2 linked regions of the Coturnix japonica genome follow. The protein of the gene in region 2 interacts with the protein of the main gene of each other region in a biochemical or structural test. Links are inferred from orthologs where the notes say so. Each region holds a gene or a part of one and is shown on either strand. Other genes may lie near its edges.

Region 1 (4,526 bases), on a different chromosome or scaffold from region 2:
GAAGAAGCATTCACTAATGTCCTACCTGAACCTCCCCAGAAGCAATCTGATGCCATTCCCTCTTGTCCTACTGCTAGCTACTTGGGAGCAGAGGTTGACCCCCTTCTCACCATAGTCTCCCTTCAGGCAGTTGTAGAGAGTGGTTTGGTCACCCCTGAGCTGCTTCTTTTCCAGTGTGAGTAATCCCAGCTCCGTCAGCTGCTCCTCTTAGAACTTGTGCTCCAGACCACCTACAGCTTTGTTGCCCTTCTCTGACTGTGCACTAGGGCCTGTCTTTCTTGTAGTGAGGGCCCCCATATTCCAGCTTTCATTAAGCACCTCAAACCAACTTTTATCCACTGTGGTAACAGCAGGCAACTATGAATAATGCCACCTCTAAACCTCACTTGTTTTCCATGATTACTGAAAAGAACTAGAACAATAACAGTGCTAAGAAATTGAATCTATACTTGTGACTTGAAGATTCATATATTAATATCTGGATACAGTTCAGAACACTGAATTATAGATGAGCTTTTAAGCAAGACTAAGTTTTGTTTTAATAGCCTGTCAGATAGTAAAATGCCTACATCTTGGGTGTGCAGCATATTAGCTCTACTGAAAGAAAAAGCAAGGTAAGTTTTATTTCACAAGTTAAAGTAACCTTTATTTATAAACATAAAATTCAACAGAAACTTCAGAGTATGCTTTTTAGAAGTCATAGTCCATAGGCGGCATATCAATGACGTAATCCAGCGTAGAGATGAAGTCAGCAGGTGGTTCTAGCAAGTCTGAAAGTTAGAAATAGAGGAGATCAATTACTCATAAAATCCAGAAGTTTACACTCCAGCTGGCTGCTGGTGGATTAGCATAAGCCTCTTGAATGGCTATGATGAGTTAGAAATATATTACAGAAAGTTACATGGCAGTGCAGCTTCGAGACCACTACCCATGCCAGTAGAGATGACCAGTTAAATTCAGCTCAGTTACATACAGAGTGCTCTTTGAGATAAGCATCCTGCTCTTGCACTTACAAGAGCAATAGTTGTTCACTACTGCAACAAACTCACTTCCTTCCTAAATCACTAATATGCGCTGAACCTCAGGCTAATTTTCCACTTACCAGACTCCCATGGCATCTTTTCAAGCTTTATAGGTGAAGAAGCTAGGTCCACAGGTTTGTCATAAGTACTTGGGAATATCATGAGAGGAACACCACGCAGCTTGATATCACTTAGTTTATCCTCTTCAGTAACATCAAAACTCTCAAAGTCTGTTTAGGAAAGACACGCTGTAGTTTAGTAACAGCGCACAATAGCATGTGAAGCTGCAAGTTGTCCTTGATTAAGTGAAATGGGAGTAGTTCCAGGACAACTCAGTCCAACAGTTCCTTCTTATGGAGTGCTTAGTTACAGTTACTTATTAGTGTCCATGCAATTTTGTATGCTAATGCTTATCTGAAGTGTATGTAACAGTCATTATAAAGCAAGAGTTTTAAGGAATTTTTCTAATCCCTATGCTGTGTCAACTATATCAAGCAATACGTATATTTAAAACACTCAAACAAGAACAAGGTCATGCTTCCAAAATATTGAATGCCCTTATGTTTAAGAAAGGACTCTGGAGAAATGTAATACCAGCTTAGTCACCACAACAGCTCAGTGGAAGTCTTGCAGCATCAACACTTAATCAAAGTCCAATTAGGTTTTAATAATTACCCCAAGAGTTCTTACCTTGAGGATCAAAAGGAAACATGTTTTCTATTTCTGGGTAAGCTTCATCACCCCCTCCATCCCAGCTTGCTAATCCAACAGCCTTTTCAGCAACCTTAAAATGAAGAAGTCAAGTTATTTGTGCTGTCGTGTTTTCTCAGTGTAGTACCCTTTCTGTGCCTGTAAACCTGGATTTTAACACCTTTGATACAAATAAGCTGCAAAAGGGAAAATGCTTCAGTTGAACTTGTATGATGGTACACAGTGGCAACAAATCTCTGCAGTATGATATTTAGGCTCATAACAATAAACTCCCACTAAATAGAATATGAACAAGACAGTAACACAGCCAATATTTTGTCTAGAGTTACTTCATTGCCCTTGTGTGTTCCCTAAGCTGTTGTAGGTACATCATGCATTCCTCTGATTCCCATCCATTACAGAAGGGTTGTACTCACTTTCTTTGCACTGCAAGGCTGATTTTTATCTTTCTTCTGTTCCTTCTTGCTTGTAACTCCTACAGTTCTGTTCACATTTCCAAGAGCCTTTCTGACAGAGTGAGATGTGGCTGGAGTTCTGATTGCTTTTTTTAGAAGTGGAGTATTGACTTGTGTTCTTTCTGATAAGGCTTTTGCTGCAGACAGGAAAGGAAAGCAAGCTTTAGCACCTTGTCAACCCTAAAGCTTGCTTCTAATGAAGTGTGTGTGCTAGAAAGCTAATTGTTGTTCTCCACTTCTAGATCAAAAGTATAAGCTCAAAAGACAGGTGATTTTCATATTTGTAATAGCTGATAAACTTAGTTTTACTATTTATCTGCTTAACCCATTTTGTTGTTCCTGTTCAAAACAGTGATTAACAAAACCCAGGACACGCACTTTACTCCATCCCACGCTGTCTCCATGGAGCATATACTCACATGATACCGAAGGGCGTCTTAACTGGTTCTTAGTAGCACCAACTTCACCATCCTCCTTATCCACAAAGATCAGCGTCGTCATCTCTGGGCTGATGAGACCACCCTGGAAAGGCAGACAGAAGATCTTGGCAGTTCTTGCTAATAGAAACAGCAAGTTTTTGATGTATGCTAGGAATGATGATGGCAGCTTGGACTGAGCACAGGGCCAGTATTAGATATGGCGGTTGATAACACGGCACCGTGCACTGGGCGGCCAAGCAACGCCTCGCAGGCCCGCCCTTCTTTAGGGCAGAAGGATCGCTCAACAGGCCAGAAAGAAAACATGGAGGAAAAACAGCACACTTACCTGCGGGAAAAGCCGATTTGGGAGCAGCAGAGCGAGGAGAAGAGCAGGGATAGCGATAAGCACAACCAGCCTCTACACCCGCCCCGCTGCTCCCATAGGCCGCTTTCGATTAACGCTCAGCCGCCCCATTGGTGACTACCGAGTTCCGGCTCCTCGTTGCCCTGGCAGTCAAGGGGCGGGGTCTCGGTGCGGCCTAGTTGGTAAACAGGGAGTGGAGGTGCGGGACCGGGTGGGCTTTGCTGGGGTGTTGGGTGGTCGTTGTGCCCGGTATGGCTGGGTGGAGGCTCTGGGCTATGAGGGGTAACCGGGGGGAGGCTCGTGGGATCGGTTCGGTTCGGAACGCGTGCGGTTTTTTAGTGTTTTAGGAGGAAGTAAAATGGCGTCTGGGACGGCGGTAAACGCGGCTCCTTCGGGAGGGCCGGGAGATGTGAGTATGGAGGAGCCGAAGAAGATGACGAGGGAGGATTGGAGGAAAAAGAAGGAGCTGGAGGAGCAGAGGAAGCTGGGGAACGCGCCTGCTGAGGTGGATGAGGAAGGAAAGTAAGTTCTGTAACACAGCTCGGTTTGTAAAGTAGGCTTATGTGGTTACAGAGTTGTGAAGCTGAGCTTAACATGAGGTTAATTAAGCTAAATTGTGCGGTGGTTTTTCCTGTGCCGTGTATTAATTTCATATCTCCTTTTACAGAGATATCAACCCTCACATTCCTCAGTACATATCTTCGGTCCCGTGGTACATAGATCCTTCCAAAAGACCTACGCTAAAGCATCAGAGGCCTCAGCCAGAGAAGCAGAAGCAGTACAGCTCCTCAGGAGACTGGTACAAACGGGGAGTGAAAGAGGTATGGGGATGCTTTTGTCCTAAAACAAAGCTTTTAATTATTCCTATGCAATAAGATATAAGTCAGTGACACCCTGCAAGATCTGGTTATATGCTTTGGAGGGTGACAGGAACTGGAAATTTGTACACAGCAAGCAGATGAGGAGAGGCTGAAGGAGCTGGGTATGTTCAGCCTGGAGAAGAGGAGGCTCAGGGGGGACCTCATTGCTCTCCATAACTTCCTGAGTTATGTTGGGAGGTTGTAGTGAGCTGGGGGTCGGCCTCTTCTCTCGTGTCATTAGTGATAGGACCAGAGGGAATAGTTTCAAGCTACAGCAGGGGAGATTCAGGCTGGACATTTGGAAGTATTACTTCTCAGGAAGGGTGGTCAGGCACTGGAATGCACTGCCCAGGGAGGTGGTGGAATCACCGACCCTGGGAGTGTTCAAGGGAAGATGTTGTGTTGAGGGACATGGTTTAGTGGGAGCTATTAGTAATAGGTGAACGGTTGGACTGGATGATCTTTTAGGTCTTTTCCAACCTTGGTGATACTATGATTCTATGATTCATTACCCAGTGTTTGGTAGTCACCTAAATGGCCTTTTGAGTTTGGTTGGAGCATGTGTGCTTTAGTTGTGTTAGAAAAGTAAATAAGTCAGCTGGGAGAAATACACAGATGAATCTTAGCATGTGTTTGTTTAATGTTTAACGCTGTCTTCTTTTGTTGTTTAGCACTCTATAGCTACCCGATACCGG
Region 2 (4,467 bases):
TCTCTGAGCAGCAAACAAATACAGACAGGAGAGAAGCTTCATGTGCTGCAGAGTTTTACCATGCTTCCAGAAGAGGTTAAGTGTCCAGGCTCTCATCATCCAGCCTCCTGAATACACACATCCATTTGTAAATGCAGAGCAAACAGGGAATCCCAAAACTACCACACCAGCTACAGCTCTATGGCAAAGCATCCTCAGAGTCAAAAGCAAGCAAATAAAAGCCAATTCACACATGTCTATTCTCAACCTAGAAGATCCTGGGCACCATCCAAGCATCACTTCATATCTAACCCCCAAATCTCAAAGGATAAGCCCACACTTCTGACAGTTACACAGCCTTGGGAATTACTTCTCAAGCTTAATAATGTAGTGACATGCTAAGCAATCACTTATAGCACATTTTAACATTTGTTCAAGGTGAGGAGAGGGGAAGAGAGTTTCCAGTGACAGACTCCACTATATTTGCTAGCTATAGAGGCTCTGGTAAGTAATCAGACACGTAGTGGTACTGGATGCTTCCAGCCATGGCAGCAGCCTTGGAGTTCAAGCATCATTCATGTGGGTCACGGCAGATGATCACCTTGAAAAGCTGAACTCCAAGGAAAGCCTTCACTTTATTTCCATGATGTTTTTCAGAGCTATTTGGAAGGCACCCAAATGTACACAAGATACAAGGCCTTACATCTGAGCTGAAGAGTTTTAAGCTGACCACGTCAAGAAGTACAACAGTGCTCTGTTGTCTACATAAAATGAGTCAAAGCACCAGAGGTTGTGACATTTAATGAGCCAGAAGAAATCTAACCGGTCATCTTGATGTCTTTTAGGACATAACTTATTAGATAATTAAAAGATTACACTTTTAAGGCAACATAGAAGCAGAGATTTCCAGCATTTATCTGTCAGACTTTGTGTATCTTGCCTACAAAGATGAGTTTGGAATATCAGCCTTGTAGGAGCTGGTGATGAAATGACAAACAGAACATCTCTGCAGTTACAAAGTGAAAAGTAATGTCTGCTTATTTCATGCATACTATAAAAAAAAAGCACAAATAAATAGAAAATCAGAGATAAATGCACAGAGTCCAGCTAGAAGAGGAACTCAAAAGCACAGTTTAACTTCATTCAAGCTGTGTACTGCAAAATGGAGTCTGATGATTGGAGACACGGTGTCAGGGCAAAAAGAAGAGTGAGCTGATACAGAAAGCTTCTGCAGCACAGAGCTCCCAGCTGTGCCCTGTAACAGCAGATCCAGGCAGGACCAAATGCCAGCCTTAATCTGGATGGCTGCACTGGCAACTTTTCTACCTTAAAAACCAACAGTCCAGCCAAGGCCACAACAAGTAACAAATCCTAAACTTATCAGCATTGCTGTAAGCAGGGAACAGCAGCAGAATTACTAACTAAAGAGTTATTTGGCATGTGAAGAGTCTAAATAGGGACATTCACTATAGCAAAACCCTACCAAAACTCACAAGCAGATAAAAGCTTGAGAACAGTATTAGACAGGTCTTTATCATGCATTTCTACCAGGGAACTTTTAGAACAGCAAATACTTTCTTCTAGCTTAGTCTAATTAGCAGAGTAGTGGAAACATTAAGTATTGTTTCCTGTCATTCCCTTTGAAATGCATTCTTGCTCCCTTTTCTAACACAACCCCATGTTTTCCTAGAAGACCCAGCTGCTAAAATAGCATCACAAATACAAAGGTTGCAGCAGTGCACGGGTAACACCACTGAAGACCCAACAGAAAACTCATTCCTACCAACACATCGTCCCACACTCAGAGGAACAGAACAGCAGCATCACAAACACAAGGCCCTGCTCTATGCGAGCACTGTGGCTGCCACCATCTCACACAAGGTCAGGCCAGCAGGGTGGTGGTCTTCCACAGGAGAAGTCCTTCCTTCCTCATCCTCTTTTCCTTAAAGAAAGAATCAAAGCCAGACTGTTCACCAAGCATTTCTGTAGCACCAAGATGCCTACAGCTCCAAACGTAACAAGGAGAATAAATACACTGAGAAGCTAAAAAGAGAACATGAATGGGATTAGCAGAAAATCACACAATTAGAGTGATGCACATAAGGGGAAAGGTAGGAAGAAACAGGCAGCTCTTATCCTGTAAATCATATCTTTGCAATGGGATGATTGAGAACGAGCAGGAAGCCCATCAAGGTAGGACATGAAGGTAGAAAAACACAATTATGTTGTTTTCTCTCCCAGAGCAGAGATACAAACTCTGAGACACATCCACAGGGAACAAGGCACGTCCTTCACACCGGCACAACACGTAGGGAACCGAGCACGTATCGAAACGAGACAACAGCAAAGAGGTGAGCGGGACGGTTCAACAGGTCTCCCCGGGGAGCTGCGGGGAGCAGAGCGGCCTTGTGCTGCCTGCACAGCGACGGGGAGACCGGGAGGGATCAGGGGGGTGAGGGGTTGGTCTGCGAGGCGCAGGGGGCTGCTGAGAGCCCACGGGAGGGGCCATAGAGCTGCCACAGGGCCCAGCTACCGAGGAACGGACACCGAGAGCAGCCCCCGAGCGGACAGGGCCCTTATCGGCCTACAGACATGGCCCTATAGAGCGGGCGGCGCCGCTCCGAGCTAGGCCGGGACCGGGCCTCGGGGCCTGAGCGCGGCGGCAGCCCGAGCCCGTCCGCCTGGGGGTCGGTACCTGGACGGGTTCCTGTAGCACCGTCATCCTGCTCCCCTCGGCCTCCTCCTGCTCCTCCTCCTCGCCAAACCCGGAGCGGGGCGGCCCCGGCCCCGCCTCACTGCGTGTCCCGGCGGCGGCGCGGTGCGGCCCGGCCCCCGCTCATTTAAACTCGCAGCGACCGTTACCGGGGCGGGCGGCGGGGAGGGAAGGAACGAGGTGGGCCAAGAGCCGAGTCCGCCCGAAGCAACCGGCGGAAATAGCCGAACCCACTGCCGGAAACACCCGAAGAGGTGGGCGGAAAGAGCCGAACGCTGACGGAAAACAGCCCTCTCGGCTGCCGAACGGAAGCGACTCAGCTGGCGGAAACACCCGAGTGCGGACGGAAAGAGCCGAGCGCTGAGGCGGGGCAGGCGGTGTTGCCCCTCAGGATCTGGGGGTTGGAGGCCGCTTGGGGGCCTGAAAACAGCTTTGTACCAACACGAAATAATAACAAACTGCTTTTTGTTTTTGTTTTTTAAGCAAAAAATGGGACTTCAGGGTTACTCAAGAAGCCTCAGCGTCCCTCGGTGGTGGGTGAGGGGCCTGGTTCCCCCCCACAGAGCACAGAGGGCGCTGGCCCACATCTCTGTGGTAAATCCATCCATTTATCTGCCATAAAACCATAAAAAGTCGTTTTTTAACGACCCACAGATCATTAACTGGAGCTCAGCGGGTTTTTTGGGGTTTTTTTTTTTTTTTTTGGGGGGGGGGTGTGGGGGTCAGGTTTTAAAGGTTGGAGCTTTGATTGTGGAGAGCTTTCCTTGCCTCTGTGGAAAACCTGGTGTCCCTGTGACAAAGGACCACAGTGCTCATCCATTTCCACCCCCCTGCTATGTGCAGGGTCACCAACCAGCAGCCCAGGCTGCCCAGAGCCACATCCAGCCTGGCCTTGAATGCCTGCAGGGATGGGGCATCCACAGCCTGTTCCTGTTCCAATGCCCCCATCCAGGTCAGAAATGAAGGGACTGAGCAGGACAGAGCCAGCACCGACCCCTGTGGAACACAACCGCTGAGCAGCCGCCATCTGGATTCACCACCAATGAATGGCAATGATGGACACCTGGCTCCCAACCGGGTTGCTTTCACAGCATCATAGAAAACCCCATGTTGGAAGGGACCCATAAGGATCCAACTGCTGAGCCGTTTTGCCCCAGGAGCAGCAGAACCTTCCCATAAGTGATGGTGGAATGTGCAGACGTGAGTGTGTGTGCATCAGAGCCCGCTCTGTTATCATCATCCTCACCCCAATCTCTGCCCCTCTGCGTGATGAAGCTCCTGGGGTGGAAGCTCCGTCTGCTCCCTGTTGCACACAGGCTTCTCCTGACACCCAGGCCATCTTTGGTATGAACCTCTGCCTTATCTCAGGCTGAGGAGATACAGCAACAGGCTCTCCCTAAAGTGGGAGGTTATTTTTCTTACTTCTTGGGCTTCCAGTGAAGTGTTTGAACTGTGAAAGGGCAACAGCCTGAACTCTTGTCCTGGGACATCTCCATCTGCTGTAGCCATGCAGTTCTATGGATGAGGTCAGTGGATGCTCTGTGTAAATGGGACTGAAGCCACCCCTCAGCACCCCGAGCTCAATGCAGGGAGCACAGAGGAGTACAGCAGTGCAGAATAGAGGTATGTGCTGCTCCTGTACACATCATTCCAACCTGCCTCTGTCTGAATCTACTTATTGCCTTGGAGAGACAGAGCAGATCCCCAGAGCACAGCATGGCTGACGTATGCTGGGGGCTGCTGCAGAAGCTGGAGTTATCAGCCCTTGCATTCTT

What was found.
Region 1: the proteins of CDC27 (region 2) and PTTG1 form a complex in vitro, tested with the Homo sapiens proteins (3 studies listed by BioGRID). The link is inferred for Coturnix japonica from reciprocal best matches to the Homo sapiens genes CDC27 and PTTG1.

What each region holds. Positions count from the first base shown.
Region 1 is NC_029528.1:9,901,279-9,905,804, forward strand, and holds PTTG1 (securin), read right to left. Parts: upstream 3,074-4,526; 5' UTR 2,954-3,073; intron 2,711-2,953; 5' UTR 2,690-2,710; coding exon 2,608-2,689; intron 2,326-2,607; coding exon 2,150-2,325; intron 1,807-2,149; coding exon 1,713-1,806; intron 1,253-1,712; coding exon 1,103-1,252; intron 771-1,102; coding exon 691-770; 3' UTR 620-690; downstream 1-619. Other genes in the region: pre-mRNA-splicing factor SLU7, read left to right, coding at 3,330-3,493, 3,639-3,792, 4,503-4,526. UniProt on the Homo sapiens protein: Regulatory protein, which plays a central role in chromosome stability, in the p53/TP53 pathway, and DNA repair. Probably acts by blocking the action of key proteins.
Region 2 is NC_029542.1:2,284,329-2,288,795, reverse strand, and holds the start of CDC27 (cell division cycle protein 27 homolog), read right to left. Parts: upstream 2,933-4,467; 5' UTR 2,702-2,932; coding exon 2,675-2,701; intron 1-2,674. UniProt on the Homo sapiens protein: Component of the anaphase promoting complex/cyclosome (APC/C), a cell cycle-regulated E3 ubiquitin ligase that controls progression through mitosis and the G1 phase of the cell cycle.